2 linked regions of the Drosophila melanogaster genome follow. The protein of the gene in region 2 interacts with the protein of the main gene of each other region in a pairwise test. Each region holds a gene or a part of one and is shown on either strand. Other genes may lie near its edges.

What was found. Proteins that work in one complex are often made in the same cells at the same time.
Region 1: the proteins of CG17652 (region 2) and CG6733 interact in a two-hybrid assay, tested with the Drosophila melanogaster proteins (one large-scale study listed by BioGRID).

Annotation. Positions count from the first base shown.
Region 1 is NT_033777.3:23,096,121-23,099,903, reverse strand, and holds CG6733 (uncharacterized protein), read right to left. Parts: upstream 2,177-3,783; 5' UTR 2,146-2,176; coding exon 2,055-2,145; intron 1,998-2,054; coding exon 1,506-1,997; intron 1,447-1,505; coding exon 1,029-1,446; intron 972-1,028; coding exon 767-971; 3' UTR 713-766; downstream 1-712. Other genes in the region: CG6738 (uncharacterized protein), read right to left, coding at 1-185, 240-330; CG17109 (uncharacterized protein), read right to left, coding at 2,791-2,995, 3,055-3,472, 3,533-3,783.
Region 2 is NT_033779.5:1,730,365-1,734,182, reverse strand, and holds CG17652 (uncharacterized protein), read left to right. Parts: upstream 1-1,826; 5' UTR 1,827-1,919; coding exon 1,920-2,039; intron 2,040-2,102; coding exon 2,103-2,303; intron 2,304-2,366; coding exon 2,367-2,780; 3' UTR 2,781-3,150; downstream 3,151-3,818. Other genes in the region: CG31937 (uncharacterized protein), read right to left, coding at 3,234-3,818.

The DNA.
Region 1 (3,783 bases), on a different chromosome or scaffold from region 2:
GGTCCACATTTCCGGGAATACAGGAACCACGTCCATGTGCGAGCTTAAAATGATTGAGGGCAACTTTGGCTGGCTTCCTTCCCATTTAATGATCACCACAGGTTTTGATTTAACAGCTGGAAAAACTACTTCCACGGGCAGATTGAGGGAATCTGCCTGCCGCTTAATAAACTCCACACAAGCAGCTAAAAATGAATAGTGCTAATGCATTTAAGGAAATATTAAAATAAGGACCTTACTATAATCAATATTAGGGTGTACAGATGGAATTCGCAAATACTCCCGGAATATTCGAATTTCCTCGTTCTTTTCCCATTTTTCGGCACTCATTTTTAATATGAATCGTTAGGATGGTAAAGTAGAAATAAGCAGCTAAAGGCATCCGCTGTCTTTATATGCATTTGGATCGTGCCACAAAAGTGATTATGCGTATATGATAAGAAAATCGTTATCAATGGGCGGCAGATCTCTTCCAATTCTGACTATATTGCAAGTCACTTTGGATGGCAGTCGAGGTAGTGACAAGAAGCAGTATAGTTGACAATCTGCTACAGAATTCCCATCAGAATCATTTATATCTTGATCAAGGAGGCGAAAGTCAAAGAATCAACAAACAATATTGAGATAAACACGGAATTTCAAATTAAACTCTTGAATCTTTTTTTTTTTTTGATAAGATTACTCTCTAAAATGAAGATACGAGGCACACTTTAGTAATTAGCCCATCTTTATTATAGCCACGATCCATGTAGTTCAAACATTTTGTTTAGACTTCAGCCAGATTGCGAATAATCTTCTTGTACACATCAATGCCATTAAGATACACATCAGCCTGCAGAAACTCGTCGTGGTCATGGATCCGCATGGTGGTGTTTATAATGGGTGAGAATCCAATGGCTGGGGTACCCTTCTCCCGAATGAAACGACTGTCAGTGGCGCCAGGACAAACGATGGGATGAACCTTCAATCCACTAAAACACAGGAGGATTTCGATTAGCCATTATAGTTAATTTTTAGTCGGTACTTACAGCTCATCGATTGCGGCTTTGACAGCTAGCCAGTAGGGATTGGAATTGTCCAGCTTGGTGGGTCCTATATAAGGCTCCTTCTGGAAGAAATCAATTTCAATGCCACCACCCGCCTCCTCGCACCAATCGCGAATCTGTTTCTCAAAGGCAACCACATTCACAGTAATGGCAATCCGTATGTCGAAGACCGCCTCGAAAAGTGGCGGAACCACATTGCTCTGGACTCCGCCACTTAACTGGGTGAGATTCACGGTGGTCACATCGCCCTTGCTGAGGCTGGAATCTCTCGCAAGGTTCTCCACTTGCGAGGTGCGGAATTCAGTCAGTTTGTTGACCAGATAGTTCAGTTTTACTCCTGCCGTATTGGGTAGCAAAAGGGAACCATGACCAGAAGTTCCACTGACTTTCAGCTTGAGTCCTGCATAAAGCGAAACGGTAATGTCCCCAATCCATCATCATCATCCTTATGGAACTTACCCCATCGCAAACGTTCGGCGTAGAACAAATGATGAACGTCACTTTCACTAGTGGCGCCTTCGTCCAGGCTGAATCCCGCGTTCATTTTCTTGTAGTAATCCGTCTTAACAAACTCCGCCATGCCCAGATGACCACCAGTCTCTTCGTCGGGAACAAAGGTCACATACAAATTCCTTTTTGGTTTGAAGCCACTAGCTTTCAGCAGGCGAATCGCTCCTAGATACTGAGTGCCCACCGATTTCATGTCCTGAGTACCCCGTGCAAAGATCCTACCCTCTTCATCAATATCGGCGGAGAAGGGTTCATGGGTCCACTTCTCTCGAAAAACTGGCACCACATCCGTGTGAGAGTTGAGAACAATGGACGATAGTTCGGGTTGACTTCCTTCCCACTTGATGATCACAACGGGCTTCGTTTGAACAGCAGGATAAACCACTTCAACAGGAAGATTTAGGGAGCTAGCCTGACGTTTCAGGAACTCCACACAGGCAGCTAGACATTGAAAGACATTATAACGCAAACTTTAAAGAATTAAAATTAAGTCCTCACTATAGTCAACATCTGGATGCACCGTTGGTATACGCAAGTATTCCCGGAAAATCTTAATTTCCTCATTGTTTTCCCACTTTTCCGAGCTCATTTCGACACTCTTCTGTCATCAGCAACTGAGCTGCAACAAAGATTGTCTGTGCTTTTATAATCACACTGATTGCTTTCATGTTTATGGTCAAGGAATTTAAATGCTTATCAAAAGTGTATGTGGTTGCGATAGTAACGCCCTTATCTGCAAAACCCACACGTCTATTATCCGAATAAGTAACTTTTCTAAGCGGCAAATAGTTCATTATGTATTATCTATGCAACTTACACAGAAATGAGTTCATTGCGTATTATCTATGCAACCTCAACCTTTGAAACCTCAAGTTCTTGGTAAGTTGTCATGTATTTTTCAATATTTTCCATCATATCGTAAAATTATGACAAATTCAATTAAAATGACGAAGCTTTGATTGATGACCTTCGATTTGAAAAAATCAAGTGATTATTTTGGATTTAATGGGCTTCCCAGTCTTCCAACTTGCTATCTATGATGATACAGCAAAATGTAGATACATCCATTATCTACTTGCTGTCGCAAGGATAGCAAGTTGTATTCTTCAGATCTTAAGTTGATTAAGGTATTCGTTGAGATAAGATAAAAGGCCAGGAAGTTTTGTACTAACTTATAACAAAATCATCAATCTTTATTTTGATAAGGTTTTCATGTATTATTTCGATTTAGTTTTTAGACATTCGCTAGGTTGCCCAAAATTTTCTTGTATATTTGAATGCCCTTCAAATAAGTTTCGGCGCCCAAGAACTCATCGTGATCATGGATGCGCATGGTGGTATTTTTGATGGGTGAGAATCCCAAGGCTGGAATGCCCTGAGCTCGAATGTTCCTGCTGTCGGTGGCACCGGGGCAGACAATGGGGTAGATCTTAAGGCCACTATAAACATACAAATCGTATTAGGAACACGCATTGTTGAGCATTCGATTCAGACTTACAGTTCATCGGTGGCAGCCTTGAAAGCCAGCCAGAATGGATTGGAGTCGTCGATCTTTGTGGGTGCCACGTAGGGTTCCTTCTCGTCGAAGGAGATCTCGATGCCGCCACCTGCCTCCTCGCACCAATCGTGGATCTGTTTCTCAAAGGCAACCACATCCAGGGTGATGGACAGACGCATGTCGAAGACAGCCTCGAAATGAGGAGGCACCACATTGCTCTGGACTCCACCGCTCAGCTGGGTGAGATTGATAGTTGTCACATCACCGATGTTGATTGTCTGATCATTGGCCAGCCTCTGAACCTGCGATTCGCGGAACTCCGTCAGCTTGTTGAGCACATAGTTCAGTTTCACGCCGGCAGTGCTGGGCAGCAACATGGAGCCGTGTCCAGAGGTTCCACTGAAATTCAGCTTGAGACCTGCCAAAGAGGGGATATAGTTTAGATTCTAGTCCTAGATGTGTCTCAAGGATTACTCACCCCATCGCATACGTTCGGCATAAAAGACATAGAACAGATCTATTTCACTGGTGCCGCCCTCGTCCAGACTGAAACCAACATTCATGTTGCTGTAGTATTCCGTTTTGACGAACTCCTGCATGCCCAGCTCGCCGCCGATCTCCTCATCGGGCACAAAGGTCACGAAGAAATTGCGCTTGGGCTGGACACCACTTGCCTTAAGCAGGCGGATGGCACCCAGATATCCTGTGCCCACCGACTTCATGTCCTGA
Region 2 (3,818 bases):
ATATAGTTCAAAGTCTGGGGATGGGTGCCCGGAACGCTTATGGCATCAGAATTAAACAAGCCGTGGTTCATAAAACGATAATGGTCAAAATCGTGGGTTTTGGGGGATCCGGTGTTATAAACTATTATGAAGCTACAGTCTTGTACGCAATATTAATATATTTTGCCATTTGATTCTCCTCTCATCAGAGAGACAGATACTTCAGAGATTAGTCAGTATTGATAAAAATAAATTATATTCCAGAAATAGATTAATTGGACAGAAAGCTAATCACGAGCCATCAATTTCTGTCTGTGCTTCCCCAACAACTCGAATTACACAGAACCTCATAGTTACTATGAATACTAACACAATGCGAATTACTGGTTCTTTCCACAACCATCAGTCCACCCAAAGTTACCTCCCCTCGAACGATGATTACTATGCGTCACTTTCTTTCCATTCAAAACCAGTTGAATAATATGGGAACTGAGCCGCCGAAAAACCAGCCGGAAACAGCGAAAGAAACCGACGAAAAATATGAGTATCGAAAAATCAGAATGCGAGGCATGCGGCACATGACAGTACTTCGTAATAAATCCAATTTTTCCAATAGCGAAAGGTGTGTTCTGGAGGGGACATCAGTGCCGAATCGATTAGCATATGAATACCACTGTGCTTTTGGTCATTTCATTGTGCTCCGTAGCCGGAAAGTTGAATAAACTGCAAGAACCAGCCGCAAAGTGGAGACGTGGAAAGTGAAGATGATCCATCCGAGGAACCCAAGACCCCAGATCCCAGATCCCAGAGGTAGTTGCACCCACGATCCAACCTTCAACCGAGCACAGCTGTCAATGGCCCAACCTTGGGAGATTAACGCTGGAAAAGCGAGGAAAAACAATACTGGATCACACAGCTGCCGCAACTGGTGGCTTTATCGACATGGCATTATAGGCAAACTTGACCAATATTCTTTATCGTTCACGGAAAAAAACTGCGCGAACATTGTATCCATTCGCAAATCGAACTATGTATCTAGAGGTTATGGCAAAACTTAATTATGATGATTAAATATAAATATAATTAAATAATATTTGATATTTGGTTTATTTTTCTATATGTACTATAAAAAAGATAGAATAGTTGAGCAAGAAGACCTTGGTTAAATCCAATCAGCATGATTAGCAAGAAATCCATCAATTGTATGTCAATTGAGCAGATTAAGAAAAAACAAGAAAATGACCAAAGAGGAAAACCCATCACGGGTGAGCGGCCAGGGGGAGGATATAGAAACGCAATAGAGGGTTAGAGGTAACCGGAGGTCGGAAAACTTGATGTACGCCGTAAACAAAGCAGAGAACTGAAGAACCGAAGTATGAAAATTGTAAGCGGCACAAATGTGATATATGCGCAGTTTAACGACCTGGCATCTCAAACTATTACTGCGTTTCACAGGACTCAAAAGTCCTCGCACACAGTTTTTATCTAAACATTTCATTAACTGACTCTTTAGTTGCTAAACACTTTTCACTTTAACTTTTAAACTTACTGTATAAATTGGCACTTTGAAATTGAAGGCTCTGTCATTAAAATTTGAATTTTATTTATGCGCTGTTTGCTGCGCCTGCAACTGCAATGGAAAACCAACTGACTACGCGAAGGGAAATGAAAACAAAGCGCTTAATAGCTGCGGAAAAGAGAAAGGGAGGGAAATTGCTTGAAGAGGGTTGAAAATGCATTCTCTGTTGCTTCCGGTTTGGCGCCAAATGTAAAACATTTCGAATTCAAATAACAGCAGGCTATAAATTACAACAGAGCTGCTGTGCGCACACAGTCTGTTAGGCGAGAACAGCTGAGCTTGAACGCTGTTCAACACTGTACTTGCACGCTGTTTTTGTTTTTACTTGATAAAACTTGGTGACTACCCACCCGCAAATATCATGAAAATATCTCGTTTTAAGAAGTCGCACAAAACTCTGGTGTTTTTTGCCAGCAATTTCGACTACCGGGAACCCTACCAAGTGCTAATTGATGCCACCTTTTGCCAAGCAGCCCTTCAGGTGGGTTATTGCTTATATCATCTCTAGCACTTGTTGATATCCATAGTTAATTTTTACTTTTAGCAAAAGATTGGCATAGATGAGCAGATTAAAAAGTACTTCCAGTGCGGCGTTAAGCTACTGACCACCCAGTGTGTTATTCTGGAGTCGGAATCCCTGGGTGCTCCTCTCACTGGAGCCACATCCATCGTCAAGCGATTCCATGTCCACAAATGCGGACACGAAGGAAAACCAGTCCCCGCTTCCGAATGCATCAAATCGATGGTAAATTGAGAGTTACTTGATTTCAAGTATGCTATAGCCATAAAATGATTACTTGCCTTTCAGACCAAAGACAATCGCTATGTGGTTGCCTCGCAAGATCGTCTGCTGCAGGAGAGTCTTCGCAAGATTCCCGGACGTTGTCTGCTCTATCTGCACAAAGCCACTCCCGTCTTGGAAGCACCATCTAAAGCCTCCAAGAAGTGGGTGCAACGACGGGCCAAAAACCTAATGCTGGGCAAACAGGTCGAGAAAATCGACTACATGAAGGAGAAGCAGGGACTGAAGCCAGCTGAAACTGCAGTCAAACCCAAGAAGCACAAAGGGCCCAAGAACCCCAATCCATTGTCCTGCAAGAAGAGCAAAAAGGACAAGGCGAAGCAACAGCTCAAAGGAGTTGAGCAGACCGCAATAACCAAGGCGAAACGAAAACGAGTCAAGATCCCAGCGCACGTCAAGGCAGCGCTAGGAAAAGATTAGATTAGAATGGTTGATCAAGTAGATAAATATAAGATAATGCAAGGTAATCTGCAGTCTTGACAAATCATTATAATGTGGGAGGAGCTGCTTTAACTAGCCACCTGAGTGTAATATGCCCTCTTCTATAATGGCAAAAAAATCTATGCATCTGAACCAGATGATAGATTACTAAATTACTGGTTAATGACTTAAGTTAACTAGAATATTTTAGAATTCATAAATCTTAATTGATTATTAGCTTACCACAATATTGCTCACCAATTGAATGGGAGGAACTGTAGAATCCCACTGTGCCTGTGAAGATTATCGCGATTGAAACGCACACTCAACTTAATCTTGTGCACATATTTATATATTTTAGTATATAGTTAAGAATTATACAACAGTATAAAAGATGACTGAGAGCCGTTTGGAGCAGGAATAGGGAAGGGGCGAGGCACACCGGGGTTGTTCTCACAGTTTGCCCTCGCGAATCTTGTTCAGCGTCTTCTCGGTCATCAATTGAGCCAGAATCTTGCTCAGCGTGGGATTCCGGGCGCAGTAGGCCAAGAGGTTGACGGGAAAGAGGCCGCACCAGGTGAGATCCATCTTATTGGCCAAGGCAACGGCGAACAGATCGCCACATCTCTGGGCCGTCATCCGTTTCTGATTGGCCGTACTCAGACCCACCTTTCCGCCCTGCGAGCCAGTGAAGGCCTCCTGCAGGAAATCGGTGGCTATGGGTCCCGGTGCGAAGAGCGACACATCCAGCTTGCGCATCTCCACTTTCAGGGAGAGCAAGTAGGCGTTAAGGGCGTGCTTGGCGGCACAGTAGGTGGGTGAAAATGGCACTGGACTGAAGCCGGCGATGCTGGAGGTGGCAGCGATGTGTCCTCTACCGCCGTTCTGCTCCACGAAATAGCGCACCACCAGGCGGCTGAGGTGGACCACCGCAAAGACATCCAGTTCGAACAGCTCCCGGTCCACCTCGATCTCGACTTCGGTCCAACTGGCTCGCTGGGATCGGCCAGCATTATTGACAAGGACATCCAGTCGATG